4 linked regions of the Anolis sagrei genome follow. The protein of the gene in region 4 purifies or fractionates together with the protein of the main gene of each other region. This does not show direct contact. Links are inferred from orthologs where the notes say so. Each region holds a gene or a part of one and is shown on either strand. Other genes may lie near its edges.

The links.
Region 1: the proteins of YWHAE (region 4) and KIF1B purify together in Homo sapiens (affinity purification with mass spectrometry; 3 studies listed by BioGRID and IntAct, with this or other methods). This does not show direct contact. The link is inferred for Anolis sagrei from reciprocal best matches to the Homo sapiens genes YWHAE and KIF1B.
Region 2: the proteins of YWHAE (region 4) and FRMD6 purify together in Homo sapiens (co-immunoprecipitation; 3 studies listed by BioGRID and IntAct, with this or other methods). This does not show direct contact. The link is inferred for Anolis sagrei from reciprocal best matches to the Homo sapiens genes YWHAE and FRMD6.
Region 3: the proteins of YWHAE (region 4) and LMO7 purify together in Homo sapiens (affinity purification with mass spectrometry; 3 studies listed by BioGRID and IntAct, with this or other methods). This does not show direct contact. The link is inferred for Anolis sagrei from reciprocal best matches to the Homo sapiens genes YWHAE and LMO7.

The regions. Positions count from the first base shown.
Region 1 is NC_090033.1:6,018,359-6,026,002, forward strand, and holds the start of KIF1B (kinesin-like protein KIF1B), read left to right. Parts: upstream 1-4,481; 5' UTR 4,482-4,655; intron 4,656-7,644. UniProt on the Homo sapiens protein: Has a plus-end-directed microtubule motor activity and functions as a motor for transport of vesicles and organelles along microtubules.
Region 2 is NC_090021.1:338,285,931-338,293,739, reverse strand, and holds the start of FRMD6 (FERM domain-containing protein 6), read right to left. Parts: upstream 3,215-7,809; 5' UTR 3,130-3,214; intron 1-3,129.
Region 3 is NC_090023.1:128,539,439-128,547,532, forward strand, and holds the start of LMO7 (LIM domain only protein 7), read right to left. Parts: upstream 3,404-8,094; 5' UTR 3,321-3,403; intron 3,286-3,320; exon of another isoform or gene 3,220-3,285; intron 3,017-3,219; 5' UTR 2,982-3,016; coding exon 2,907-2,981; intron 1-2,906.
Region 4 is NC_090031.1:27,489,940-27,498,042, reverse strand, and holds the start of YWHAE (14-3-3 protein epsilon), read right to left. Parts: upstream 3,300-8,103; 5' UTR 3,148-3,299; coding exon 3,084-3,147; intron 1-3,083. UniProt on the Homo sapiens protein: Adapter protein implicated in the regulation of a large spectrum of both general and specialized signaling pathways. Binds to a large number of partners, usually by recognition of a phosphoserine or phosphothreonine motif.

The sequences.
Region 1 (7,644 bases), on a different chromosome or scaffold from region 4:
AACGAAACCCTAAAAAAGGATAACAAAAAAAATAATCACATACAAACCAACCGCAGCTTAATTCTTGTACATATATTTAAGTGATAAAAAAACCCCAAACCCATTGTGGGGGGCGGGGCTAAGTTTTAGGAAGTTGTTTGGAAGCAAACTCCTCCGGTGTCTCCTAACGTTGGGGTTTGTCCGGCGGAAATCTTTCTTTCTTCTTTTTCATTTTAGCGAAAGGCCTCTACGGATCAGGGCAGCGAACCCTTGTTGTGTCCTGTCCCACCCGTTCCCCCTGTTTAATATCTCCGTTAATTTGATTGTGATTGAAAACTCGGAACATTTTTGCTGCTAAAGCCGTCCCCAGCCCTTTGTTTTCTCCCCCGTTCCCTTTTTGCACCTCCTCTTTTTCTCCCTTGTTCCCCTTTCGTACCGCCTCTTTCCTCCCCCGTTTCCCTTTCATATCACCTCTTTTCTCCCCGTTACTCTTTCGTACCGCCTTTTTTCTCTCCATTCCTCTTCTGCGCCACCTCTTTTCTCCTCCGTTCCCCTTTTGTACCACCTCTTTTCTCCGCTGTTCCCCTTTCATACCGCCTCTTTTCTTCCCGTTACTCTTTCGTACTGCTTCTTTTCTCTCCATTCCTCTTCTGCGCCACCTCTTTTCTCCTCTGTTCCCCTTTCATACCGCCTCTTTTCTCCGCCGTTCCCCTTTCGAACCGCTTCTTTTCTCACCCGTTCCTCTTTCGTACCGCTTCTTTTCTCCCCGTTCCTCTTTCGCACCGCCTCTTTTCTTCCCCGTTTCCCTTTCGTACTGCGTTTCTCCCTGTTCCTTTTTCATACTGCTTCTTTTCTCCATTCCCCTTTTGCACCGCCTCTTTTCTCCCCCGTTCACCTTTCGCACCTCCTCCTTTTCTTTTCCCAATATGAAGAAAACCTTCCCGCGATTACAAAACTACGAGCCCTTCTCTGACCCCAAGAGAACATAATCTTGAACAGATGAGTGTGCCTGCAACAAGGGGGGATTTCGGGGAGGGAGGGAGATATCATATTTTTCTATTAAGCATATTCATTTATTTTTTATTTGGTAGGCCGTACTTGAGAAGAGTGGCTCGCGATAGCAAACGCCTCTCCGTTTTTGTTTTGGGCGGACGGGATTTCGAGTTGTCCCTCTTTTGCCTCTTTCTGAGATTCACATTTTGGGTGGACTTTTCTTTTCTCGTCAAAGCCTTGAAATGTACTCAAAACATCTGCGGAATCCCAGGGCTTCAAAAAGGTATATATATGGAGACAGGGAGCTATACATATATATATATAAATATAAGATCCTCTTAAAGCCAGAGATCCTGATAAGGGTCCAGAGTCATTTTTCTTCTTCTCGGCGCCTACCAATCCAAAAGGGCAGGGGATGCATTTTTACGTTGCGTGTACCACGTTTTGTATCCATGGCTTGGCCTTACCAAAGCAAAAAAAAGGGTGCAGAAAAAAATAAAATAAAAAATAGAATAAAAAAATAATAAATAATAATACGTAGACTTGCTTTTTTTAAAGAAAAATAAATAAATAGAAACTCTATACAAAAAAAAAAAGACGGAAACATTTTTGTATGACCGACTGCCCCCTGCTTTAACGATACTTGAATTTCGTTTTTAAAACAAAGGATTTGAAACCACCGTGTTTTAAAATGATAATAATAATTAAGCCTGAAAAGAAAATCCGTTTTTTTTCCTTTCTTTTCTTTTCTTTTTCCACTGACAGCGTCCTCTGTTCAGTTCCTGATTCTTGAACAATAATAAATGGTGATACGCATTCACAAGACTCTTCCTGCCTGGGTCGTTCTTCATTGTCTTTTATTGGGATGAGAGACTGCTGGGTGACCACTAGTCGAATTGTCCACTTTGAGGTCGTATCAGCTGAAGCTGGGAGTAAACACTCCTGGCCATTGTCGCTTCTACCAGGGCTGACATTGGAGAGAAGAACCAGGAGAATGCCAAGCTGCGAACACACACTTTCAGGGGAGTGTATGTCAGAAATATTAAATATTAACTAGGCATTTTTAATTACAAAAAGCACTGAAAGAGTTAAATGGATGTAATGACTCAGCAGAAGCTGCAGTTTAATATAGGCAGGTGTGCCTGAAGCTTAGTAGCCCTCAGTCTGGGAGAGGTCTCTGTGGGAGAAGGGCCTCAGTGTGCTAGTAGGCCTCTGTATGAGAAGGCCTCAGTGTGAGGTGGACCTCTGTATGAGAAGGCTCCAGTGTTAGTTTGCCTCAGTGGGAGAAAGGCTTCAGTGTGAGGTAGGCCTCAGTATGAGAAGGCTCTAGTGTTAGTTCGCCTCAGTGGGAGAAAGGCCTCAGTGTGAGGTAGGCCTCAGTATGAGAAGGCTCCAGTGTTAGTTTGCTTCACTGGGAGAAAGGCCTCAGTGTGAGGTAGGCCTCAGTATGAGAAGGCTCCAGTGTTAGTTCGCCTCAGTGGGAGAAAGGCCTCAGTGTGAGGTAGGCCTCAGTGTTAGTAGGCCATAGTATGAGAAGGCCTCAGTGGGAGAAAGGCCTCAGTGTGAGGTAGACCTCTGTATGAGAAGGCTCTAGTGTTAGTTTGCCTCAGTGTGAGAAAGGCTTCAGTGTGAGGTAGGCCTCTGTATGAGAAGGCCTCAGTGTTAGTTTGCCTCACTAGGAGAAAGGCCTCAGTGTGAGGTAGGCCTCAGTATGAGAAGGCCTCAGTGTTAGTTCGCCTCAGTGGGAGAAAGGCCTCAGTGTGAGGTAGGCCTCAGTATGAGAAGGCCTCAGTGTTAGTTTGCCTCACTAGGAGAAAGGCCTCAGTATGAGAAGGCCTCAGTGTTAGTTTGCTTCATTGGGAGAAAGGCCTCAGTGTGAGGTAGGCCTCAGTATGAGAAGGCCTCAGTGTTAGTTCGCCTCACTGGGAGAAAGGCCTCAGTGTGAGGTAGGCCTCAGTGTTAGTAGGCCATAGTATGAGAAGGCCTCAGTGTGAGGTAGGCCTCAGTGTTAGTAGGCCATAGTATGAGAAGGCCTCAGTGTGAGGTAGGCCTCAGTATGAGAAGGCTCCAGTGTTAGTTTGCTTCACTGGGAGAAAGGCCTCAGTGTGAGGTAGGCCTCAGTATGAGAAGGCTCCAGTGTTAGTTCGCCTCAGTGGGAGAAAGGCCTCAGTGTGAGGTAGGCCTCAGTGTTAGTAGGCCATAGTATGAGAAGGCCTCAGTCGGAGAAAGGCCTCAGTGTGAGGTAGACCTCTGTATGAGAAGGCTCTAGTGTTAGTTTGCCTCAGTGGGAGAAAGGCTTCAGTGTGAGGTAGGCCTCTGTATGAGAAGGCCTCAGTGTTAGTTTGCCTCACTAGGAGAAAGGCCTCAGTGTGAGGTAGGCCTCAGTATGAGAAGGCCTCAGTGTTAGTTTGCTTCACTGGGAGAAAGGCCTCAGTGTGAGGTAGGCCTCAGTATGAGAAGGCCTCAGTATGAGAAGGCCTCAGTGTTAGTTCGCCTCAGTGGGAGAAAGGCCTCAGTGTGAGGTAGGCCTCAGTATGAGAAGGCCTCAGTGTTAGTTTGCCTCACTAGGAGAAAGGCCTCAGTATGAGAAGGCCTCAGTGTTAGTTTGCTTCACTGGGAGAAAGGCCTCAGTGTGAGGTAGGCCTCAGTATGAGAAGGCCTCAGTGTTAGTTCGCCTCACTGGGAAAAAGGCCTCAGTGTGAGGTAGGCCTCAGTGTTAGTAGGCCATAGTATGAGAAGGCCTCAGTGGGAGAAAGGCCTCAGTGTTAGTAGGCCATAGTATGAGAAGGCCTCAGTGTGAGGTAGGCCTCAGTGTTAGTAGGCCATAGTATGAGAAGGCCTCAGTGGGAGAAAGGCCTCAGTGTTAGTAGGCCTCAGTATGAGAATGCCTCAGTGTCAGCCTGCCATCAACTCCACTGGACTGTCCACGTTGCCTGAATGTCCGATCACAAACACACATATATATATAGATATACACAAATATACTCACACAAAGTGTGAGTAGGCCTCAGTAATAATAATAGGAATTGTGGGAGTTGCAGTCCAAAACAGCTGGAGGGCCCAAACTGGCCCAGTCCTGACTGCGATGCCTCCAAACTCTGTCTCAGGCCCATCTCCGCCTTTTATATCTTCCCTGCGGAAGGTTCTGTCAGGTGTTGTTCGTCCCTCAGGCGTATTTCTGCCTTTCTCCTCATGATACACCACTGAGGTCTCCCTCCGCGCTGCTGGCTGGTTAAAGAGTCCCAGAATAGAACCTTTTGGATGAGAACCCCTTTTTCGAACGCTGATTGGCTGCCTCCCCGGAGTCCGTCCCACCCCCCCGGCGTTTTCCCTTCACTGGATTGGACTAGAGCTGAGCCGTGATTGACAGATGACGTTTCCTCCCCCTTTTTTTTTCGATTGACACTGATTCCTCACCTATGAGATGCCTTGATTGGGAAGCAGCGCGAGGCCTGATTGGGCAGCGGGGCGAAAGGGGCGGGGCTTGTCTGTGGGGACGGGTGCCGACTCCTCTTCTCCTCAGTAGCGCTCCTGTCAGGCGTGAGGGTCGGGGCTCCCGTTCGTCTCGCCTGTGGTAGCCCTTCGCCGGCTCGGGGGGCTCCGTCATGGGCCTCGGCGGCTTTTACCCCGCTTCCCGTTCCCGGAGGAGATGGTGATTTAATCCGGTTTCGAACCGCGCTGAGGTAAAAAGGGGAGCGGGAGAAGGCGGTGGGAGGGGGGGCGCCGTGAGGGGGAGCCGTCACGTGACCCGACTCCCAGCGGGGGCGGGGCCAGGAGCAGTGGGCGGGGCCAGCGCTCAGAGACTCCTCCCCTTTCCCCTCCCTTTGGCTCTTCCATCCTCAATACCCAGAATGGGGGGATATTGGGGATGAGTCCAGGCTAGGAAGGGATACAGAGAAGAAGGCCCAGTCCCTTCCCATTGGCCCATTTGGGAAAACAATAAATAATAAAATAAATAAAAATTTAAAATAATAAAATAAATAAAATTTAAAATAAATAATAAATAAAATAAAAGGAGAAGCCAAAAAGGAAGGCCCAGTTCCTTCCCATTGGCCCATTTGGGAAAACAATAAATAATAAAATAAATAAAAATTTAAAATAATAAAATAAATAAAATTTAAAATAAATAATAAATAAAATAAAAGGAGAAGCCAAAAAGGAAGGCCCAGTTCCTTCCCATTGGCCCATTTGTGAAAACAATAAATAATAAAATAAATAAAATTTAAAATAATAAAATGAATAAAATTTAAAATAAATAATAAATAAAATAAAAGGAGAAGCCAGAAAGGAAGGCCCAGTTCCTTCCCATTGGCCCATTTGGGAAAACAATAAATAATAAAATAAATAAAAATTTAAAATAAATAATAATAAATAAAATTTAAAATAAATAATAAATAAAATAAAAGGAGAAGCCAAAAAGGGGGGGAAATGGTTGTCATTTTTGCAAAACCTAGGCTTACATCCTAATGTATCTGGAGTGTGGATAGTCTTCATGAGGGGAATATGTAGAAAGGATATACAATTTATAAGGAATGGTAATTTTTTTTTGTCAGGTCAGGAGTGACTGCAAGTCACTCCTGGTGTGAGAGAATTGGCCGTCTGCAAGGACGTTGCCCAGGGGACGCCTGGATGATTGATGTTTTTATCATACTTTCGGGAGGCTTCTCTCATGTCCCCGCATGGGGAGCTGGAGCTGATAGAGGGAGCTCATCCGCCTCTCCCCGGATTCGAACCTGCAACCTGTCGGTCTTCAGTCCTGCCAGCACAGGGCTTTAACCCACTGCGCCACCGGTGGTATAGTACAATATAATAATGTATATTATTTATTTATTTATTTATTTATTTTGCTTATATACCGCTGTATCTCAAGCCCGAAGGCGACTCACAGCTGTTCACAAACAGTAAAAACAGTAGAAACAGCAGTGGTTCCATACAACATATAACAATTGACTTAACACATTATCCATAAATTACCAATAAGCAATTACAATGCACAATTATTACAAAAAAACAACCGTACCCAATCTTCTCATCATCCAAGCGTAGTCCAGGTTCGTCGTCCATTGTTCCATTCCTATGTTCCATTACCAGATTGCACTAAATTACTCAAACGCCTGCACAAACATCCAGGTCTTCACCTTTTTGCGGAATACCATTAGAGATGGTGCTAGTCTAATGTCCGTAGGAAGGGCGTTCCACAGCCGAGGAGCCACCACCGAGAAGGCCCTATCTCTCGTCCCCGCCAGCCGAGCTTGAGAAGCAGGCGGGATCGAGAGCAGGGTCTCCCCGGAAGATCTCAAAGTCCTGGTGGGTTCATAGGCAGAGATGCGGTCAGATAGGTAGCTTGGGCCGGAACCGTTTAGGGCTTTAAAGGCCAACGCCAGCACTTTGAATTCAGCCCGGTAGCAGATCGGTAGCCAGTTGGCGCAACAGGGGGGTTGTATGCTCCCTGCGCTCCGCTCCTGTTAAAATCATGGCTGCCGAGCATTGGACTAGTTGGAGCTTCCGAGCTGTCTTCAAAGGCAACCCCACGTAGAGAGCGTTGCAGTAGTCTAAACGGGATGTAACCAGAGCATGGACTACCGTGGCCAAGTCAGACTTCCCAAGGTACGGGCGCAGTATAATGCTTATATTGTTCTATTCTGATACTTTAATATATTATATAATAATATTGATAATATTATAATACAATATAATAGAAATACAATAATATATAATAATATTGTAATGTAGTAATACTAATTTAATTATAATGTGATATATATTTTATATTAAATGTAATATTACTAATAATGTTGCAATATAATTGTATAGTACAATAAAGTGATATATAGCACTGAGATTGGCTGAGATTGGCGGGGACGAGGAGCAGGGCCTTCTCAGTGGTGGCCCCTCACCTATGGAATTCACTCCCCGGGGAAATTAGATCAGCGACATCCCTCCTTTCCTTTAGAAGGAAAGTAAAAACATGGATTTGGGACCAGGCGTTTGGGCAATCTGGCAGATAAAAAAAAGGACTACGACGACAGACAGGAATAGACAATGTAGAATGTAGTATGGACTCTGAGTTGGCAAACGCTGACCATGAGATTGATTTATTGACTGTGATATATATTGATTGTTTTAATTGTTATAACTGTTTAATTGCTGTTTTTATATGTTTATTGTATTATTGTGTAGGCATCAAATTGTGCCTTTTTGTAAGCCGCCTGAGTCCCCCCTCGGGGGTTGAGAAGGGCGGGGTAGAAGTATACGAAATAAATAATAAATAAATTGTACTGTGCTCATGGTATAATGTATTGTGTGTGTGTATGTGTGTGTGTATCTTGAAAGCCACTCTGAGTCCCCTTCGGGGTGTGAAGGGCAGCATATAAATAATGCAAATAAATAAATAATATATTAAATATGATACTACCGATAATCTATATAAATACAAATGTAATGTTCATTTGTGGGATTAACATAACTCATAAACCACTGGATGAATTGACACCAAATTTGAACACAATGCACCCATCAGGCCAGTGAGTGACCATCACTAATAAAAACACTGAAAAACACAGCGGAAGAGAATTTAAAAGCCAAAAAACAAAAATACATTTCAACGCATGCGCAAATATACACACACACAATGCATACACTCACAAAACACATATACACAGACTGGGCCAC
Region 2 (7,809 bases), on a different chromosome or scaffold from region 4:
AGAGTGTTTGAGGACCGGGACATCCGTAGGTGCTTGTTTATAAAGCCATTGTCCTCCCAACCCTGCTATACGCCTGTGAAACGTGGACTGTCTACAGGTGTCACATGCAACTCCTGGAACGATTCCATCAGCGCTGCCTCCAGAAAATCCTGCAAATCTTGGGAAGACAGGCAGACAAATGTCAGCGTGCTGGAAGAAGCAAAGACCACCAGCATTGAAGCGATGGTCCTCCACCATCAACTCCGCTGGACCGACCACGTTGTCTGGATGCCCGACCACCGTCTCCCAAAGCAATTGCTCTACTCCGAACTCAAGAATGGAAAATGGAATGTTGGAGGGCAGGAAAAGAGATTGAAAGATGGGCTCAAAGCCAACCTCAAAAACTCTGGCATAGACACTGAGAACTAGGAAGCCCTGTCCCTTGAGCGCTCCAGCTGGAGGTCAGCTGTGACCAGCAGTGCTATAGAATTTGAAGAGGCACGAATGGAGGGCGAAAGAGAGAAATGTGCCAAGAGGAAGGTGCATCAAGCCAACCCCTACCAGGACCACCTTCCACCTGGAAACCAATGCCTTCACTGTAGGAGAAGATGTAGATCAAGAATAGGGTTCCACAGTCACCTATGGAGTCACCTTGGAGGACCATCATCCTCAGACAACGAGGGATCACCTAAGTAAGTAAGTAAGTACCCTATTGCCTAGAATCAGGTTATGTGTCCTTCATGGTTTGCTATAAAGGCATTCTTGGTTGATCCTGTAGGAGTGCCGCAGGGTTCCGTCCTGGGCCCGGTCCTGTTCAACATCTTTATTAATGATGATGGATTAGAAGGCACGATCATCAAGTTTGCAGACAGGACCAAATTGGGAGGGAGAGCCAATACTCCAGAGGATAGGAGCAGGATTCAAAACGATCTTCACAGATTAGAGAGATGATTGGCCAAAACTAACAAAATGAAGTTCAACAGTGAGAAATGCAAGATACTCCACTTAGGCAGAAGAAACAAAATGCAAAGAGACAGAATGGGGACAATGCCTGGCTCGAGAACAGTATGTGTGACAAAGATCTTGGAGTCCTCATTGACGACAAGTTAAACATGAACCAACAATGTGATGCGGCATCAAAAAAAAGTCAATGGGATTTTGACCTGCATCAACAGGAGTTTAGTGTCTAGATCCAGGGAAGTCATGCTCCCCATGCTCTATTCTGCCTTGGTTAGATCATTCCTGGAATATTGTGTCCAATTCTGGGCACCACAATTGAAGGGAGATGTTGACAAGCTGGAATGTGAGGTCTGAGGATGCTTGCCATAGATGCAGGAGAGAATGCTTCTAGAACATGGCCATACAGCCTGCAAAACCTACAACAACCCGATAATTCCAGCCATGAAAGCCTTCGACAATTCAATGTAATGTTCGTTTGTGGGATTAACATAACTCAAAAACCATTGGACAAATTGCTGCCAAATTTGGCCTCAAGACACCTACTAACCCAAGGAGTGAACATCACTCAAAAATTAATTTTGTCAGTAGTAGTTGCTGGGATTTATAGTTAACCTACAATCAAAGAGCATTCTGAACTCCACCAAGGATGGAATTGAACCAAACGTGGCACGCAGGACTCCCATGACCGACAGAAAACACTAGAAGGGTTTGGTGGGAATTGACCTTGAGTTTGGAATTGTAGTTCACCAACATCCAGAGAGCACTGTGGACTCAAACAATGATCTGGACCAAACTTGGCATGAATATTCTATATGCCCAAATGTGAACATAGATGGAGTTTGGGGGAAATAGACCTTGACATTTGGGCATTGTCGTTACAGAGATTTATAGTTCAACTACAATCAAAGAGCATTCTGAACCCCACTAATGGTAGAATTGGGGCAAACTTCCCACACAGAATCCCCATGTCCAACAGAAAATACTGAGTTTTCTGATGGTTTTGGTGACCCCTCTGACACCCCTTTATGACCTCTGCAGGGGTCCTGACCCCCAGGCTGAGAAATGCTGCCTTAAGGCCATCCAATCCAACCCCCTTCACCAGAACAAGAAAACATAATTGAAGCCTTCCTGACAAACAGCCATAGAGATAGATAGATAGATAGATAGATAGATAGATAGGTAGGATTCAGACACACACAGATATCATATCATGGATTTGAAAGAGACCCCTAAAGAAGGACAATTATATGTTGCATGTTCCTAGGTAGACAAACCAGACAAACAGCAAGTAATACTGTTTACCCACAAGCATAAAGAAATTACATATATTAGAAACCAACACTTTCTCATTACTTTATTTTCCAGATCAGCAGACTGGGCCACAGCAATGCCTGGCAGGGGACAGCTAGTTTTATATAAGAGTGGCCACTTTGCTATGCCAATGTATATAATGGTACTGCCCATCCATTGTTTTTGGAATCTATGCCACTTTAGTCACCTTGGAATGAGGAGCGGCTTAAGGAGCTGGGCATGTTTAGCCTGAAGAAGAGAAGGCTGAGATGAGGTATGATAGCCATGTATAAATATGTGAGAGGAAGCCACAGGGAGGAGGAGGGAGCAAGCTTCATTTCTGCTTCCCTGGAGACTAGGACGCAATGGGACAATGGCTTCAAACTACAAGAAAGGAGATTCCATCTGAACATGAGGAAGAACTTCCTGACTGTGAGAGCCGTTCAGCAGTGGAACTCACTGCCCTGGAGTGTGGTGCAGGCTCCTTCTTTGGAAGCTTTTAAACAGAGGCTGGATGGCCATCTGTCAGGGGTGATTTGGATGCAATATTCCTGCTTCTTGGCAGAATGGGGTTGGACTGGATGGCCCATGAGGTCTCTTCCAACTCTTTGATTCTATGATTCTATGAATGCTATGGAATCATGAGAGTTGTGGTTCGACAAGGTCTTTTCTGCCAAAGAGTGCTGGTGCCCCAGCAAACTGCAACTCCCAAGTTTCCATAGCATGGAGCCATGCCTGTTAAAGTGTAATCATTATAGTTTTGGAAGGTCTTTAACCTTCTCTGTCAAACAGTGCTGGTGCTTCACCAAAACTGCAACTCCCAGGAAACCATAGCATTGCCTTTTGGAACAACCTAAAGTAGAAAGGAGATCACATTTTGGCCAAAACGAAATGCATTACCTATATATGCAGGCGTCTGACTGGTCCATGCAAAGCGTCTGGAAAGAATTTTCCGTTCTTCTCCCCTCCCTTAGACGTCACCAAAGAACTGTTGGGACAAAAAGGAAAAAATTGTATATTTTAGACATTTGGACTCCTGTTGAGTCACCATTTCCAATTCCCCACCCAGTCCAGGTATCTGGCGGGTCCCATATCATTGCAACACTGGATCTGCTATGGCAGTGGTTCTCAGCCTTCCTAATGCCACAACCCCTGAATTCCATTCCTTATGTTGTGCTGACCCCTGACCAGAAAATGATTTTCATTGCTACGTCATAATTTTGCTCCGGTTATGAATCGTAATGTACACATCTGATGTACAGGATGTATTTTCATTCACTGGACCAAACTTGGCACAAATACCCGATATGCCCAAATTTCAACACTGGTGGGGTTGGGGGAGGATTGATTTTGTCATTTGGGAGTTGTAGTTGCTGGGATTTATAGTTGACCTACAACAATGGAATTGAACTCCACCAATGATGGAATTGAACCAAACTTGGCACACAGAACTCCCATGACCAATAGAAAATACTGGAAGGGTTTGGTGGGCATTGACCTTGAGTTTGGGAGTTGTAGTGTGTAAGTTTTCTGTAAACCTACATCCAGGGAGAACAATGATGGGACTGGACCAAACTTGGCACGAATACTTAATATACCCAAATGTGAATATTGCCAGAGTTGGGGGAAAATAGACCTTGATATTTGGGAGTTGTAGTTGCTGGGATTGATAGTTCACCTACAACGATGGAATTGAACTCCACCAATGACGGAATTGAACCAAACTTGGCACATAGAACTCCCATGACCAATAGAAAATACTGGAAGGATTTGGTGGGCATTGACTTTGAGTTTGGGAGTTGTAGTGTATAAGTTTTATGTAAACCTACATCCAGGGAGAACTCAAACAATGATGGAACTGCACCAAACTTGGCATGAATACTCAATATACCCAAATGTGAATACTGCTGGAGTTTAAGGAAAATAGACCTTGATATTTGGTAGTTGTAGTTGCTGGGATTAATAGTTTACCTACAATCAAAGAGCATTCTGAACCACACCAATGATAGAATTGTGCCAAATTTCCCACACAGAATCCCCATGACCAACGGAAAGTATTGTGTTTTCTGATGGTCTTTGGTGACCCCTCTAACACCCCCTCATGACCTCCCCAGGGGTCCCGAACCCCAGGTTGAGAAACACTGTTGTAGAGAAACATGTACCGAAACTAACAAAAATCATTACTTATTATCTTGGTATTTAGGTATAACAGAAACTTATTATGGATTCAACATCGCTATTTATTTATGGTGTCAGGGGCAACCAGACCATTGTATTACATTTCGAACAGAACAAAACAAACAGGTTAAAAAAAAACCACAAAGTTTGCAAACTTGGTAGTTGAGTAAATGTCCTTTGACCAGTATCTGGTCACTTGGAGTGCCTCTGGTGTTGCCGCAAGAAGGTCCTCCCTTGTGCATGTGGCAGGGCTCAGGTTGCATTGCAGCAGGTGGTCAGTGGTTTGCTCTTCTCCACACTCGCATGCCGAGGATTCAACTTTGTAGCCCCATTTCTTAAGACTGGCTCTGCATCTCATGGTGCCAGAGAGCAGTCTGTTCAGCGCCTTCCAAGTCGCCCAGTCTTCTGTGTGCCCAGGGGGAAGTCTATCATTTGGTATCAGCCATTGATTGAGGTTCTGGGTTTGAGCCTGCCACTTTTGGACTCTCGCTTACTGGGGTGTTCTAGTGAGTGTCTCTGTAGATCTTAGAAAACTATTTCTTGATTTAAGTCGTTGGCGTGCTGGCTGATACTCAAACAAGGGATGGGCTGGAGATGTCTCTGCCTTGGCCCATTCACTATTGGCTGCTACTTCCCGGCGGATGTCAGGTGGTGCAATACTGGCTAGACAGTGTAATTTCTCCAGTGGTGTGGGGCGCAGACACCCCGTAATAATGCGGCATGTCTCATTAAGAGCCACATCCACTGTTTTAGCGTGGTGAGATGTGTTCCACACTGGGCATGCATACTCAGCAGCAGAGTAGCATAGCACAAGGACAGATGTCTTCACTGTGTCTGGTTGTGATCCCCAGGTTGTGCCAGTCAGCTTTCGTATGATATTGTTTCTAGTGCAGTGCTATGAGTGTTGGATGATGACTATGGAGACTGTAGTTCCAATCTCCACTCCGCCATGACACCTACTAAGTGACCATGGGAAAGTCACATTCTCTCAGCCTCAAATGAAGCAAAGGAATACTATCTCTGAACAAATCCTGCCAGGAAACCCCCTGATAGGGTCATCATGGATTGGAAACAACTCAGTGTCATGGGAGTTGAAGTTTTACAAGTCTTTTCTGACCAAAAGTCCTGGTACCTTAGCAAACTACAAATCCTGGGATTTCATAGCATTGAACCATGACACTTAAAATCAAACTGCGTTAATTCTAAAGCGTAAATGCACCCTAGAACTAGAATCCCTTTGGTTACTCCTAACAAGAGTTAAACCCATTAAATCCAATATCAAATAGTGAGTCAACACATAGTTTAGGTATAGTGTATCATTGGGATTTAGGTCTACATGTTTATATAACCCTGCCAATTCCAGGTAACTCTTCCCTGGACATTAAAAGCCATCCAAATGTGTTTTGGCAAAGCACGCTGTGGTTAACACTGCTGATTCCAGAAGTATATTTAGATCTCGCTATACAATGAATTACAGAAAAGAGGCCACTGGCTCGCAGGAGAGCTGTAACAACATTTCCTTCCTTTAGAAAAGAACAGAGTCCCTGCGTGAAGCAGAGTCGGAAATGGTGCCACAGAGTGAGCGAGTTCCACAACTTGCAAAACTGCGTTTCCCAACAGGGCAAGTGACCCATGTTGGCCATTAGAAAACAAAATGGAAGATTGCAAATCTATGTTGTGTTGATACTTATACTTGGACTGGGAGGGTTGGAAGGGTCCCCAAGGGCCATCCAGTCCAACCTCCTTTACACAACCCAACAGATGCCTCTGCAACATCATTTCCAAAATCTCCATAGAAGGAGACTCCACTGCAGGAGTGAATTCAACAAGCGACCAGCCTTTAACATCACGAAGTTCTTCCTAATGTTTAGGTGGAAGCTCTTTTCTAGTACTTTGACTCTATTATTCCATTGTGTCCGAGAATCATGCGTAGAATCACAGGGCTAGGCAAAACTACGGTGAGGTGGATCTATAACTGGTTAAATGAACGAACCCAGAGACTGCTCACCAATGCTTACTCTTCATCTTGGAAAGAAGTGACAAGTGGAGTGCCCGGTCCTGTTCAACATCTTTATTAATGACTTCGATGAAGGGTTAGAAGGCAGGATCATCAAGTTTGCAGATGACAGCAAATTGGGAGGGAGAGCCAATATTCCAGAGGACAGGAGCAGGATTCAAAATGATCTTGACAGATTAGAGAGATGATGGGCCAAAGCTAACAAAATGAAGTTCAATGGGGACAAATGCAAGATACTCCACTTTGGCAGGAAAAATGAAATGCAAAGACACAGAATGGGGGACGATGCCTGGCTCGAGAGCAGTACGTGTGGAAAAGATCTTGGCGTCCTCGTGGACAACAAGTTAGACATGAGCCAGCAATGTGATGTGGTGGCAAAAGAAGCCAATGGGATTTTGGCCTGCATCAATAGGAGCATAGTGTCTAGATCCAGGAAAGTCATGCTCCCCATGCTCTATTCTGCCTTGGTTAGACCACACCTGGAATATTGTGTCCAATTCTGGGCACCACAATTCAAGAGACATATTGACAAGCTGGAATGTGACCAGAGGAGGGTGACTCAAATGATCAAGAGTCTGGAGAACAAGCCCTATGAGGAGCGGCTTAAGGAGCTGGGCATGTTTAGCCTGAAGAAGAGAAGGCTGAGACATGATAGCCATGTATAAGTATGTGAGAGGAAGTCATAGGGAGGAGGGAGAAAGCTTGTTTTTTGCTGTCCTGGAGACTAGGACGCAATGGAACAATGGCTTCAAACTACAAGAAAGGAGATTCCATCTGAACATGAGGAAGAACTTCCTGACTGTGAGAGCTGTTCAGCAGTGGAACTCTCTGCCTTGAAGTGTGGTGGAAGCTTTTAAACAGAGGTTGGCTGGCCATCCATCGAGGGTCCTTTGAATGCAATATTCCTGCTTCTTGGCAGAATGGGGTTGGACTGGATGGCCCAGGAGGTCTCTTCCAACTCTAGGACTCTATGATTTTATATGTTGATAAGGCAACAGCAAGCTTTGGCCCTTGGGTGCATCTCCAGGTGTTTTGGACTCCAACTCCCACCGACTGTTAGGAATTGTGGGAGCTGAAGTCCAAAACACCAGGAGGGCCAAAGTTTGCCTAGGCCTGATCTACATTATAGAAGTAATGCAGTTTGACCCATAATAACTGCCACCTATCAGTACTTATGGTATCAAAGGCTTTGTTGTTTGATGACACAACCACACTCTTTGGCAGAGAAGGCTTTTTATTTATTCACAGTACTTTTATTCTGTGCTTCTCACCCTGAAGGAGACTCAGGGCGGATCACAGAACCCATATACAGCAAATATTCAGTGCCAATTATACAATGAGAAGGCAGATAGAGGTATAGTTAGGCTTTTTCTCATCATTCGGCA
Region 3 (8,094 bases), on a different chromosome or scaffold from region 4:
AAGACTTGTTAAACAGAGTTCACTGTGTGCAAATTTCTAGGTGGGATTCAGAAACCCTTTACAGTTGCCAATTTTTATGACCCCAACACTGAGTTAAGGGGACCCCATTTAGGGTCAAACCCACATTTTAAAAACCAGTGTTCTGGATCTTCTTTCACAAAAGTCATTCCCACACATTAAAGTAAGGCTGTTTGATATTATTTTTGAGAGTGTGAATGCTCCTCGGTGCTCGGTGCATAACTAGCGAGGAGGGAAGATGCAAGCTAGAAAAGACCAGAGGACCCCACATTTCTTAACACTGCATTAAAACATCCCACTAAGCCAATGGTTCTCAACCTGTGGGTCCCCAGATGTGGGCCTTCAATTCCCAGAAATCACAACAGCTGGTAAACTGGCTGGGATTTCTGGGAGTTGTAGGCCGAACACCTGGGGACCCACAAGTTGAGAACCACTGCACTATGTAACAGGGCATCGAAGCAACCACAACAGAATATTAACAACTCAATCCTACACACATGAAGTTGGTGCTACTCTACCGAAAGGGACCTAACTCCATCAAGATGATGTTCAGGATTAAGACTAATCCTTAAGTCTGGGTTTAGTGTGAGCAAGGACTCAGCTGAAGGGCCTCTGCTAAATATTCCTCAGCCACAAAACCTGATACTCCGGTTACAAGAAAAGAAGTAGGGAAACTTTTAACACAGGTCCAACTCCTTTTTGTTTGACTAAAGCCTCACAACAGTTCCTGTGTAGCCTTTTAAAAAGGTGACCACCACAAAGGAGGAAGAGAGATCCAGTTGCCCCTCCATATCCCTGGAATAAAATTATGAGAACGTGCCTTCGCACATACACAGAGATGTTATTCCTCGCCAAGTCACTCTTCCATCCTTTTGTATGAGCTGCTGTGGGCTTCCAAGTAAGTGTGAGCCTGAGGCCAGCCACTCCCTTCAAAAATAATAATAGTAATAATTACCAGTTACAGAAAATACCACAGGCTTGCAATGGAGAGAAAAAAAAAACCTCTTACAGTATTGCTGGTCTTAATATATGTTTGGATTCTGAATTGGAAAAATGCAATGAAAATATCTTACTACACACAGTTCTGCTGTTAGGATATGGCTATTCTCTCAGTTTCATACCAGCAGAAAAAAATCTGTTCCTGGTTTGAAAGTGCTGTTTCCTGTTTAATCGTGTTGCGCTTAGTTTGAAAGTAGTTGTTATAATCCAGAAACTTTGTTTTGTGGATGCCACAAACTATGTCGAATTGATTGAGACAGTATGAGATATTAATTGAAAAAACAATAGCAAAATGTGCTGTAAGATGTCCCGCAAAAAGAGTTTTTGCAATTTAATAAACTGTTTCCCCATGTATTGTCGAAGGCTTTCATGGCCGGAATCACTGGTTTGTTATGAGTATTCTGGGCTGTATGGCCATGTTTCAGAAGCATTCTCTCCTGACATTTCACCTGCATTTTTGGCAGGCATCCTCAGAGGTTGTGAGGTTTGTAGGAAAATTGGGTTTATATCTATATATATATCTGTGGAATGTCCAGGGTAGGAGAAAGAACTCTTTTCTGTTTGAGGTATTTGTGAATGTTTCAATTGGCCACCTTGATTAGCATTTAATGGCCTAGCAGTTTCAAGGCCTGGCTTCTTACTGCCTGAGGGAATCCTTTGTTGGGAGGTGATTAGCTGGCCCTGATTGTTTCTTGTCTGGAATTCCTCTGTTTCTGAGTGTTTTCCCCATGTGTTTGGAGACATGATAGCCATGTATAAATATGTGAGAGGAAGTCATAGGGAGGAGGGAGCAAGTTTGTTTTCTGCTGCCCTGGAGACTAGGACACAGAACAATGGCTTGAAACTACAGGAAAGGAGATTCCATCTTAACATTTGGAAGAACTTCCTGACTGTGAGAGCCGTTCAGCAGTGGAACTCTCTGCCCCGGAGTGTGGTGGAGGCTCCTTCTTTGGAAGCTTTTAAACAGAGGATGGATGGCCATCTGTCGGGGGTGCTTTGAATTTGATTTTCCTGCTTCTCAGCAGGGGGTTGGCCTGGAAGGCCCATGAGGTCTCTTCCAACTCTAGGATTCTATGATTCTATGGTAGAACCAATTAGGAAATGACATTTATAACCCAGGAACAACAATTGTGTTATATAGTGTAATTCCTTCCTTACTCTAAAAACTCTTAAAATTGTAACAGTAAATAAAAAACAAAACTCAAACATGGGGGAACTCCAGACAAAAAACAGTTAGGAACAACTAATCACCTCTCAACAAAGGATTCCCTCATGCAAGAACAAGCCACACACACACAAAAACTCCCAGGCCATTAAATGCTTATCAATCGAAACAGTCACATCTACCTCCATCAGGCAAGAGTTCTTTCTCCCACCCTGGACTTTTCACAGATATATAAACCCAATTCTCCTAGTTTCCAACAGATCACAACCTCTGAGGATGCCTGCCATAGATGCAGGTGAAACATCAGGAGAGAATGCTTCTGGAACATGGCAATACAGCCTGAAAAACCTACAACAACCCATCCTTCCTTACTGTTTACTCTGAGGGTGCATCTGCAACTAAGGGATGGCTGCAGTGTGGCCCTACTTTGGGTACCATTCTCTCAATACTATGGAGGGAGTTGCAGTTCTGCAAGGTCTGGAGCCTTCTCTGCCAAAGAGGGCTGCATTCCAAATTCCCAAATGCTCCAGCCTAGAGCCATGGCACTTTGAGAGGGGCCAAACTGTATCCCTAAAAAGAGACAGCAACACAATACAAGCTGTGGAGAGAGAACAGGATGCAGTGGGGCAACCCTGAGTAAGACAAATCCCAGATTGTAGTCTAGCCCTCAATCTTGCAGGCCAGGGAGTTGTGGCGTCTCCTCCTCCTCGTCCTCCTCTCTTACCTCGACCCACCGCCTGGCTTCAGCAAAGGCCCCCTCACAGGAGCCGGCACCTTCGGGGTCCTCTCTGGCCTCCATGGCTGGCAGGAGAAGAGCAAGGCAAGGACAGAAAGCTGGGGAGACAGAAAAGGCGACGGGAAAACCTTGGCTGAGAGAGAGAGAGGCAGGCACCCTCCGGCTTCAAGGAGCCTTTGGAAAGGAGGGAAAGAGGTGTGTGCCTTTCCCGTTAGTCTGAAGGGAAGCGGCACTCAAGCCAAGCCAAGCCAAGCCAAGGCTTTCTCTGCAAGGAGCGCCCACCCGACTGTCCCAACTGCACCTCTTCCTCCCTTTGAGGCGCTCCAAACTTGACCCTGCTTCCCTGGCCGCCGTCCGCACCCTACCCTACCCTACCCTTCCCTTCCCGCTACAAACGCCTACCTTCCGCCACCGCTCCTACCTCCGACTGGCTCCCGGTCCAAAGCCCCGGCGCTGCCTCTTGCAAACTTTCTTAAACTTTCCCGGGAGGCCGGCTCGCCGCCACCACCTGGCGGCACGAAGGGGAATTGCCGCGCAGGTTAGGAAAGGGAGCCCTTCGTGTCTTCCCCCTAAATATGGCAAAAAGGCAAGCCTTCCTTTTTGCCATGTTGTATAAGGCATGACGTTTTACTACCCCACTGTATATCATGGAAACCCCAATCCCATAGATGTTGATATCCACAAAAGGCCTGGAAACAAACCCTTTCAAGTTCATTCCTGGCAGTCCCCAAGTTACGAACAAGGTGGGTTCTTCAATTGCATTTGTATGTAAGTCGGAACAGGTACTTTTTAAATGTAACTCCAGCCATACACACGCACGTGCACAAGTTGAGGAAAAAGTGTATGTGTGTGTGCATGGGTAGATAGATAGATATGGCTGGAGTTACATTTAAAAAGTACCTGTTCTGAAATGTGTGTGTGTGTGCTATATATATATATATATATATATATATATATATAATTAGGGCTGTCCAACCACAGAAAAATTTGTTTCTAAACTCGATTCGTTTTTAGGCGGTTTTTGCGTTTCGTTATTTAAAAGAATTCCGAAATTTTTCTTTAAAAAAGTTCGATATTTACGAAATTTCGGAAATTACGAAACAATTTTGAAACAATAACGAATCGATTCGTTAATGGCGGACGCGGTTGCGCAATACACTAAAAAACCCTCCAAATGGGACAGGGGGAACTTCTGAAGCTTCCCTCTCCCTCTGTTGTTGACTCTTGGTGTGATAATTTATTTTTTTATCACTGATAAAACAAACAACAACTATAAAACTTGCACCAGACATACGGAAATAATAACAAAACAATTACGAAACAATTACGAAATAAATTTTAAAAATTCGTTTCAATTTTAAGTTGCTCCTGAATGGTTCAATATCGCTTCGTTATAAAAAAAATAACGAATTAATAACGAATTACGAAATTAACGAACGAAACCGCCCAGCCCTAATATATATATACACATACATACATACATACACACACACACACACATATATATACACTCTCTCTTTTTAAATGTAACTGCAGCCATATATATACACATAGATAGATAGATACATACATACGTGCACACACATTTAAATGTAACTCCAGCCACATATATATATATACACACACCTTTTAAGTATAGCCATATATATATATATATATACACACACACACATACATACACACTCTCTCTCACATTCTTCTCTTTTTAAGTGTAACTCCAGCCATATATATGCACATACACACACACACTTTTTAAGTGTAGCCAAGTGTATACACACACACACCCTCTCTCTCTTTCTCTTTTTAAGTGTAACTCCAGCCATATATATATATATATATATATATATACACACACACACACACATACACACACACACACACTTTTTAGCCATATATATATATACACACACACTTTTTAAGTGTAGTCATGTATGTATATGTATATATACACACACACATATACATATGTACATGCACACACACTTTTTCATGTTGTCATGTTGTAATTTAATTTTTGTGATTTTCTGTTGAAATTTTTATGGTTATTGTCTTTGGATATTAGCACTGCATGTTTGTCTTTGTTTCTTAGAAACTGCCCTGAGGCCTCACAGGGAGATATGGCGGGATATAAATAAAGTTTTATTATTATTATTAAATGTAGCTCCAGCCATATATATATTTATATACACACATACACACGCGCGCACACTTTTTAAGTGTAACTCCAGCCAGCCACACACACACACTCACACACATATTTTAAAGTGTAACTCCAGCCACACACATGGCTGGAGTTACATTTTTAAAAGTAAGTGTGTATGTGTGTGTGTAGAGGGGGGGGGGGGAGAGAGAACTTTGGATATCATAAGGAAGGGAGTGATTTTCCCTTTCTAGAGACAGATTTCTCTCACTTCTTGTTTTCTCATTCCTGTTCCTCACTATGTAAGTTGAGTCGGATGTTTGTAGTTTGGGGACTGCCTGTATATACAATGGCATAGTAAAATATTGTCCCATGTTTAAAGGTTTGCTTTGGGGATTTTTAACCTATATTCAAGCTGTGGATGATTGAATCCATTGTTACAGAATCTGCTGATATGGACGGCTGTCTGTATAAGGAGAAATGTTTGCTGGATAACTCCAAGACCTGGAGATGGCCTCAAATCTCCATCATTATGTCAACAGGTTTTTTTTAAAAAAAAATCCTTGTAATCAGTAAATGACTTCTAGGGGCTGACAAACAATTTTCTGTCTTTATGAAAACCAGGCTTTGATATTTTTCTTTCTAGGCATCTGGCAACCATCTCAAATCTATTTTAATCCTATGACTATCTGCATCGGCAGTGAATTTCAGATAGTCACTTCCTTATTTTTCTCTCTCAAAATGCCTACACCTCTCTCCACATTTTTGGCATATCATTCCCTCTATACATCCTTTCCAGTCCTCAAATGGGGCATATAATAAGGACCGGCTACCAGTTCTCTGTGGGACATCAAATAAGGGGCATCCTTTATAATGTGGGTCACTTGGTGATCCTATATGTATCCAAAACGGCGCCCTCCCTTCCAGGGTTGGGCTGCATCCCAATGTCAGGTTCAAGGGAGCCTATAGTAGTTCCACCCTCACCCACGACATGGGAACCTCAATATATCTGCGGGTTATCTCATGCGCTCACCCAGTACCAAATGCTTGGGATAACACTCATATTTGTGGAAAAGGTCTTGAGGGAAGATTCCCCAGAAGGGTAATAATGACTGAACAGGTCCCAAGGGCTCAGAATGCTGACTGACTGGCTTGCAGTGAAGGCTATGAAACTGGGGCAGAGGGGGAAATGGGGGACCATTCATGGGTTGCTGTGAGTTTTCCAGGCTGTATGGCTATGTTCCAGAAGCATTATCTCCTGACGTTTCATCCACATCTATGACAGGCATCCTCAGAGGTTGTGAGATCCATTCATTTTGCGGGGAGAAACAATCCAATTGTAGTATTATGAGGAAAGGGGCAGTAGCTGTCTGAGAAAAACTCAAAGACCTTGAAATTAGGGTCCCACTGCTGGATGTTCGCCACCCTTACTCTTTAATAAACATCACTGGCACTCCAAGGATTGTCTTAACTCAGAGGCCTGCGGGCCAGATGTGGCCCTCCAAGGTCCTTTACCCAGCCCCTGCCCTAAACTTTACAATTAGGGCTATCCTAAATCTGAAACAACTTGATGCCACATAACAATAATAACTTGCAATGCCACATATTTACCAAATCACACAAAACACACTGGTCTCAATATGGATCACAAAACTACTAATATTATATATTAATGTGTTTGCTTAGTCCTATCATAAAGTCTAAAGATGAATACAGTAGTCTTGCTTATCCAACCTTCGTTCATCCAACATTCTGTTTTATCCAACACAGTCGACCTCCCATCCAGATCCACAGCTATTTCAATCCATTGCAATGTTTTGGTGCTAAATTCATATATACAGTAATTACTACGTAACGTTACCGTGCATTGAACTACTTTTTCTGTCGAGTTGTTGTAAAACATGATTTTTTTGGTGCTTAATTTGTAAAATCATAACACAATTTGACATTTAATAGGCTTTTCCTTAATCCTTCTTTATTATCCAGCATTTTCGCTTATCCAACGTTCTGCCGGCCCATTTATGTTAGATAAGCGAGACTCTACTGTATTACATAATATGGTCACTATAATACATTCAAGTATAAAGTGAGCAAGATCTTAGAAGCTCTGAATTATTTGTCCTAGAGACCATCAAGATGAGTTGACATATACCAACTCTGTGGAGAACTCCAGTGATCAACAACCATACTCAGGTCTTCATTATGACTTCCTACATTGAAATCAATCCATCTGGAATATGGTCTTTCTCTTTTTCTATTGCTTAAAATTTACGAAGCGCTGTCATGTTTTCCAGTAAGTCATGTCATCTCTTGATATCTACATGCTGCAAAAACTTTGTATATCGATATAATAAATGTATATTATATCTATTACTCTGTATCTTGAAATGTTATAGTAGTAGGATAGATGTTGTCCACCACAAAGTAGAGACAACAAAAGAAGTGCTACATATTGGTATGCACAGTTGTGTTTTGTGTATATACGACAGTCAATCTTTTGAAAAATATATAATGAACAAGGGTACCAGATTAAGGTGTGTTTGTGCCAAAATACAAGACCAAATGAAATGTAAATGATGTTAACCAAGTTTGAAATTTACAGTATTCTAGAAATACATTCATTTTGGGCATGTTTTAAAGGATTCAGATCTGCTGTAGGCAAAACCAAGGTGCCATGAAACATCTCAGGGATATTTTTTTTTCATTTAAATACTTCATATCTAGATGTAAATGGTGCCCACATATGATTTCAGAAGAGGGTACAAAGAGCATCACCCTCCACCCACACACAACTTTGATTTAGGCCTCTTCTACACTGCCATATAATCCAGATTATCAAAGCAGATAATTCACATTGCCTGCTTTGAATTGGATCATATGAGTCTACACTGCCATATAATCCAGTTCAAAGCAGATAATCCAAATTTTATATAGCAGTGTAGAAAGGGCCTTAGATCTCCTTATAGCATTTTCCTCTGATGTGCATTTTGAGGGAAAGAAAGCCTGGCTAGATTTTGTCCACAATATAGCATTTAA
Region 4 (8,103 bases):
TTATTATTATTATTATTATTATTATTGTCATCATCATTATCATCATCATTATGAAGCATGATATGCCCTGCCTCAAGCCAAAAGAAGAGGTGACTAATAAATAGAGGTCACGGGTATTTTAGTAAGTGTATTTATTGCATTGATCGTTTGTAGTAAATTTTATTGATTAGCCCTCAGGTCATATCACAAAGGCATTGATAGTTGCATTTTAACTATGTTTAAACAGGTAATTGTATAGAGAGGTGTGTGTGACTGAGTTGTGCCCTGCTGCCTCAAGTCGAGGTGAGTAATAATATTAGTAATAATTTATTATGCTTTTCAGCCTTGAGCTAAAAGAGAGGCACGCAGTTAACGATCATCATTATCATCATCAGATTCATACAGTTGGAAGGAACTTAAAGGTCACCCAGTCCAACCCCTTTCTGCCAGGAAGAATTACTATATTATTATTCTCAGACTCAGTTGGGACTTTTAAAGGCCACCCAGTCCAACCACTTTTCTGCCAAATAGGAATATATTATTATCAGTATTACTACTACTACTACTACTACTATTAGACAGAATCACAAGTTGGAAGGGACTTCTAAAGGCCACCCACTCCAACCCCCTTCTGCCAACCAGGTAGAATTCCTGTATTTTTATTACCGAATACGATTTTCCTGCTTCTTTGCAGAGGGTTGGGCTGGATGGCCCACAGGGTCTCTTCCACTCTATAATTCTATTATTATTATTATTATCATCATCATCATCATCAGACTCAGAGTTGGGACTTCTAAAGGCCATCCAGTCCAAGCCTCCTTCTACCAGGAAGGAATATAGAATTACTATATCATCATCATCATCATCAGGCAGACTCAGTTAGGACTTCTAAAGGCCACCTAGCTCAACTCCCTTCTGCCAAACAGAACTATAGAACTACCATATTATTATTATTATTATTATTATTATTATTATGCAATTATTACTATCAGACTCAGAGTTTGAATTTCTAAAGGCCACCCAGTCCATCCCTCCTTCTACTAGGAAGGAAGGTAGAAATACTATATTATTATTATTATTATTATTATTATTATTATTATTATTATTTACTGACACCAAAATACAGCATTCACAGCGAACGAGATCTATATGCTGGATTTCGTATCACAAAATCAGAAGTCAAACACTTCCCAAGTGTCTAGGACTGTGTGATGTATTGAATGATTAATGCAGATCCAAGTAAGGAGGCCTTATTATTATTATTATTATTATTATTATTATTATTATTATTAGGCAGACTCAAGAGTTGAAGTCTTAAGGCCACCCAGTCCAACCCCTCTTCTGCCAAACAGGAAAATAGAATTACTATATTATTATTTGTATTATTCAATTGTTATTAGCAGACTCTGAGTTAGGACTTCTAAAGGCCACCCAGTCCAACCCTCTTCTGCCAAACAGAAGGACAGATTTGCTATTATATTATTAGTATTATTATTTGAAAAACAACAAGATAAGTCCACAGCAGACACTCTGCTGGCTGTTGAATTGGATCACACGTCGGATACTTCCCAAGTGTCTAGGACTGTGTGATGTATCAGTGAATAATGCGTGCAGATCCCAGTAAGGTGGCCTTCTGCAGCTGGCAGATGGTAATTTTGTCAGCACCGATTGTGTTTAAGTGCAGGCCAAGGTCTTTAGGCACTGCACCCAGTGTGCCGATCACCACTGGGACCAGCTTTACTGGCTTGAATTATTATTATTATGCAGTTATTATTATCAGACTCAAAATTGGGATGTCTAAAGGCCACCCAATTCCACCCCCTTCTACCAAACAGGTAGAATTACTATTTTCATCATCAGACTCATATAGTTGGAAGGGACTTCTAAAGGCCAACCGGTCCAACCCCTCTTCTGCCAAGCAGGTAGAATCACCATATTATTATCATCAGATTTAAATGGAAGGGACTTCTAAAAGCCACCCAATCCAACCCCTCTTCTGGCATTGTTATTATTACCATCATCATCAAACTCAAGAGTTGGGACTTTTACAGGCCACCCAGTCCAACCTCTCTTCTGGCATTATTATTACCATTACTATCATCATCATCACCATCAGACTCAGAGTTGGAACTTCTACTTCTACAGGCCACCCAGTCCAACTCCCCTTTCTGCCAGGAAGGAAGAGAGAATTACTATATTATTAATATCTATTATTACCTCCTACTGGAGTAATAAATGAATACTATTCTTATTATGATGAAACCTATTTTGCTGCACCTCAAGGCGGGCAATAAGATATTATATCAGGCATGGGCACATTTGGGCCCTCCAGGTGTTTCCCGAGGGGGGAAAGGAAGGGGCCTGAGGCTGTTAGGAATTGTGGGAGTTGGTCCAAAACACCTGGAGGGCTCAAGTTTGCCCAGGCCTGCATTACATGATTATTAATTATGGCACCTCTTTGGCCCCTTCTGCATGAGATATATTTGGGGGGGGGGGGGTGATGAGGGAGAGTTGTGGGCGGGGCCAGGACCTTGGGAAAACCTTTGGGAAATGGCCGAGGGGGGAAAGAGAGGTGGGCGGGGCCAAAGCAGACCCTCCCTCCCTTGCAGGCCAAGATGGAGATATTGGGGGTGGAGGGGTGGGGTTTCTAATATGATCTGATCCCCTGTCTCCTTAGCTTTGGACCCCCCCAAAAAAGGGAACACAAAGGAGGGGAGACCAGGGAAGGGCGTGGCTTGGGAGGGAGGTGGTCCCTAAGCCACGCCCACCCTTCCCTCCCTCCCTTTGGAGCTTTTGTCCCTGGCTGTTCCTCCCTTTGGTCCCCCAACTGCGCCCCCCTCCGCGCTCTTCCTCTCTCCCTCTCTTTAGACTGTCCGCCATTTTGTCCCTCCCGGCTCCTCATTTCCTTCCTTCTCCTCTCTCGGCTTCCCTCCCTCCTTCCTTTCCTTCCTTCCTTCCGCCATTTTGTCTCCCTCCTCCTTCGCGCTGTTCCCGCTCCCGCCGCTCAACCTCCACCTTTACCTCGCCTCAGGGCCTAGGCCTCATTTTGAGCCTGCCTCAATTTCTTCCCTCCCCCCACCCGCCCTTCCGGGCCCCGTCCTCACCGTCATAACGTTCGGCCTGCTCGGCCAGCTTGGCCTGGTAGACGAGGTCCTCCCGGTCGTCCATGTCCGCGGGGCGAGGAGGGCGGCGGGGGCTGCGCGGGGGCGGATGGAGACCGATGGTCCGGCGGCGGGGGCTCAGCCACGATCCGCGCTCGCTGCTCCGCTCTGGGCAAAGATGGCGGCCGCGGCGCCTCCTCCTCCTCCTCCCGCTCACATCCGGGCACCGCCAAACAAGCCGGGAGGGGGAGCGCGCATGCGCAAAGTGAGGCCGCGCCCAGGCAGGCCCCATGGCAACCGCGGCTCCCTCCCTTGGCAACTGCTGGCCCCTCCATTGGCCCGCCCGAAGAGAGTGGCACTCACATCCCACCACATTGCATTCGGGTTGGGTTTAGTTTTGAAGCATTGAGAGCCAAGTCCGCTCTCCCTGTGGCCCTTCAGGCTTTGGGACTCAGTTTCCCAGAATTACTGGCCATTACACAAGCTAGCTGAGGCTTCTGGGAAATTGAGTCCCAATCTCCCAGAGGGCTAAAAGGCCTCTTCCTCTCTTGTGGCCCTCTAGACTTTGGGACTCCACTTCCCAGAATTCCTGGCTATTGGATAAGCTGGCTAAAGCTTCTGGAAAATTGAGTCCCAAACTCCCAAAGGGCTTGGGAAGTCTGACTTGGCCACGGTAGTCCACGCTCTGGTTATATCCCGTTTAGACTACTGCAACGCTCTCTACGTGGGGTTGCCTTTGAAGACAGCTCGGAAGCTCCAACTAGTCCAACGCTCGGCAGCCATGATTTTAACAGGAGCGGAGCGCAGGGAGCATACAACCCCCCTGTTGCGCCAACTCCACTAGCTACCGATCTGCTACCGGGCTCAATTCAAAGTGCTGGCGTTGGCCTTTAAAGCCCTAAACGGTTCCGGCCCAAGCTACCTATCCGACCGCATCTCTGCCTATGAACCCACCAGGACTTTGAGATCTTCCGGGGAGGCCCTGCTCTCGATCCCGCCTGCTTCTCAAGCACGGCTGGCGGGGGCGAGAGATAGGGCCTTCTCAGTGGTGGCTCCTCGGCGTTGGAACGCCCTTCCTACAGACATTAGACTAGCACCATCTCTAATGGTATTCCGCAAAAAAGTGAAGACCTGGCTGTTTGAGCAGGCGTTCGAATAATTAGTGCAATGATTGGTTAATGAACACTGGAATGGAACAATGGATGACGAATCTGGAACATGTTTTTGATGATGAGACGACAGTGAATGGGTATTGTAGTAACTTTATTAATTGTGTAATGTGTTAGGTTAACTGTTTTTATACTGTAGCACTGAATTTTTGCTGTTCGTATTTGTTGTGAACTGCTGTGAGTCGCCTTCGGGCTGAGAACAGCGGTATATAAGGAAGGTAAATAAATAAATGGCCTCGTCACTCTTGTGGCTCTCTAGGCTTTGGGACTCCACTTCCCAGAATTCCTGGCCATTGGATAAGCTGGCTGAGGCTTCTGGGAAATTGAGTCCCAAACTCCCAAAGGGTTAAAAGGCCTCTTTACTCTTGTGGCCCTCTAGGCTTTGGGACTCCATTTCCCAGAATTCCTCGCCATTGGACTAGATGGCTGAAGCTTTGAAATTGAATCCTAAACCCTCAGACAGCTAAAGGGATGCCTCTTCAACTTTGTGGCCATTCAGGCATTTGGGTCTCAATTTCCCAGAATTCCTAGTGATTGGATAAGCTGGCTGAGACTTCTGGGAAATTGAGTCCCAAACCTCAAAGGGCTAAAAGGCCTTTTCGACCTTGTGGCCCTCTTTTGAATCCCTTTATTTATTAATTATTTATTTACTGCATTTATATGCTGCCCTTCTCACCCCAAAGGGGACTCAGAACGGCTTACAAGATATATATATACATACAATATATTATATTATTAGCATAGTACAATATCAGTATTATGTATTACTATATTTTACTATACCATTATATTGTAATATTATTAGTAATATTACATGTAATACAAAATATATAATTATATTAGTAGTAATATTATATTTTATTATATTTATTTGGGGAGAAAGGTGGTGTAGAAATAAAATTATATTAATTAATTAATAATATATAATAATTATATATTTTGGCCTAATAATATATTAGTATTATATTGTATTATATATATTTGAGGAGAAAGGTGGTGTAGAAATAAAATTATATTAATTAATAATAATAATAATAATTGTAAACCTCTTTGAGTCCCTATGGAGCGAAAGGCAGGGTAGAAACACAATTATTATTATTAATAGTCATAATGTTATTACAAGCCTCCTTGAGTTACTATGGGAGGAAACGCAAGGTAGAAATAAAATTTTTGTCATTGTCGTCGTCATTGTAAATCTCCTCGATGCTCTATGGGGAGAAAGGATTGGCTTTAGCACAGGTTAATCACTAGCTGCAGTAAATCTTGCCAACCAAAAGGTTGACAGTTCGAAGCTGGGTGAGGGTGAGCTCCTGACCTTCAGCCCAGCTCCCCGTCCACCTAGCCTTCCCACAGAAATTAGATTCCTGTTCACATTTTGGAGGAAAGTGAAGACCTGGTTGTTTGAGCAGGCATTTGAATAGGCAGTGTAACTAATATAGAAATATGGAACATTTGGATGATGAGATTGGATCTTGATTTTAACTATGAGATGAGATGTTATGATGGTTATTGATTGTTATAATGTTATTCTTTTAACTGTTTTTATCATGTTTAAGTATTGTATTTGCTTTGTTAACCGCTCTGAGTCGCCCTGAGGGTTGAGAAGAGCGGTATACAAATATAGTAAATAAATAAATAAATAAACATGAGTAGAGGGATTGGAACTGCATTAAGCGGTGATGTAAAATACATTGACATTGGCGTTTCAGAGGAAAATTTACAAAGAAAGCAAGGACATAGAGCAACAGCACCACCCTGTGGCCAGAACTGAACACAGCCTTCAAAGATACCGAATGATGAGAAAAAAGCCTATATATACCCCTATCTGTTGTCTGTCTTGTCATTGCCTAATCGGCATTGAATGGACTGAGTCCATTGTCGAGTCTCCTTCGGGGTGAGAAAGGCATTATATAAGTACTGTAAATAAAGGTAGAGTGGAAATACACTTGTTATGCTGACAATGATGAGTCTCCCTGAGTCGTTATGGGCAGAAAAGGAGGGTGGAAATAAATAATGTTACTGTAAGGAAAGACGGAAAACATTTGGATTCCAAAAGGGTTGGCCTTGGGTCAGGATGAGATGGTGGACGGGAGAGAAAAAGTATCTCCATGAAACCCGTATTGCCCACTCCTGAGATATAATCCTAGAGCTGGAAGAGACCCTCAAGAGCCATCCAGTCCAACCCTCTGCCATGCAAGAAGGCACAGTAAAAGCACTCCTAATAGATAGCCTCTGTGGAAAAGCCTCCAGAGAATCTTTTCAGTCGAATCTCTTTATTTGCCATTTGAACCCATTGCTCCCTTGTGCCCTGGTCTCTAGAGCAGCACAAAGTCAGTTTTCCCCCTCTTCCTCCTCAATGGGACAACCTTTGAAATCTTGAAACATGGCTCTCATGTTCTCTCTTTACCTTCTCTTCTCCCAGCTAAACATCTCCCAGGAGAAAAGGAGGAAGGGAAAAAAAGGAAGAGAAGGATGGAAGGAAGGGAAGGAGGGAGGGAAGGGAGGAGGAAAGAGAGAAGGAAGGAAAGACAAAAGAAAAGGAATGAAGGAGAAATAGAGAGGGAAGAAGGAAGGAAAGAGGGAAGGATGAAAGGTTGGAAGGGGAGAGAGCAAGAGAGGGAGGGAAGGAAGGAGAGAAGGAAGGAAGGAAAAGATGGAAGGGTGGAAGGGAATGGAGGGAGAGAGAAAAGAAAGGAAAGAAAAGAGAAGGAAGGGAGGGAAGGAGGGAGGGAGAAAGGGTGGGAAGGGAGAAAGACGACAAGACACAAGGGGAGAAAGGAAGGAAGAGAAGGATGGAAAGAAGGAAGTGTGGAGGGAGGGAAGAAAGGAAAGACGAAAGAGAAGGGAGGAAGGAGCGAAGAACGGAAGGATGAAAGAATGGGAACGTGGGAGGAAGAAGGAAGTAAAGACAAAAGGAAGAAAGGGAGGGGGAGAGAAGGAGGGAAAGAAAGAAGTATGTAAGGAAATGGAGGAAAGAAAGAAGAAAGGAAAGACAAAAGAGAAGGGAGGAAGGAACGAGGGAAGGAAGGATGAAAGAATGGGAGGAAAGGAGGGAGAAAGAGGGCAGGAAGGAAGAAGGAAGGAAAGACAAAAGGGGAGGAAGAGAAGGATGGAAAGAAAGAAGTGTGGAAGGGAATGGAGGGAGGAGGGAGGAAAAAGAAAGGAAAGACAAAAGAGAAGGGAGGAAGAGAGAGAGAGAGGGAAGGAGGGAGGAAAGGGAAGGAAGGATGAAAGGGTTGAAGGGAGGGAAGGAGGAAGGAAAGAGAGAAGGAAGGAAGAAAGGAAGGAAGGAAGAAAGGAAGGAAGGATAGGATGGTGAAAGAAGGCCTGAGAAAAGAGCCTTCTCAAGTCCCTATGGGGAAAAAAGTGGTGTGGAAATAAAATTATGATTATTATTGTCATTAATTATAATAATGCTAATAATTTTATTGTAAGCCTTCTTGAGTCCCTATGGGGAAAAACCAGGGTTGAAATAAATTATTATAATAGTTTCAATTCCTTAGCTTCCCTAACAAAACATCCCCTTGTGGTGCTCAAACCCATTCTTTGCCATTCCAGGAAGGGAAGGAGGGAACTGGGGATGAATTTAATTCTATTTTAAGTTGTATTGATTTTGGGTTGTTGTGTGTTTTCTGGGCTGTCTGGCCATGTTCCAGAAGCATTCTCTCCTGATTTTTTGTCTGCATCTATGGCAAGCATCCTCAGAGGTTGTGAAGTCTGTTGGATTGCCTACCATAGATGTAGGCGAAACGTCAGGAGAGAATGCTTCTGGAACATGGGCAAACAGCCTGGAAAACTCTCAACAGCCCAGTGATTCTGGCCCTGAAAGCTTTCGACAATGTATTGATATTATC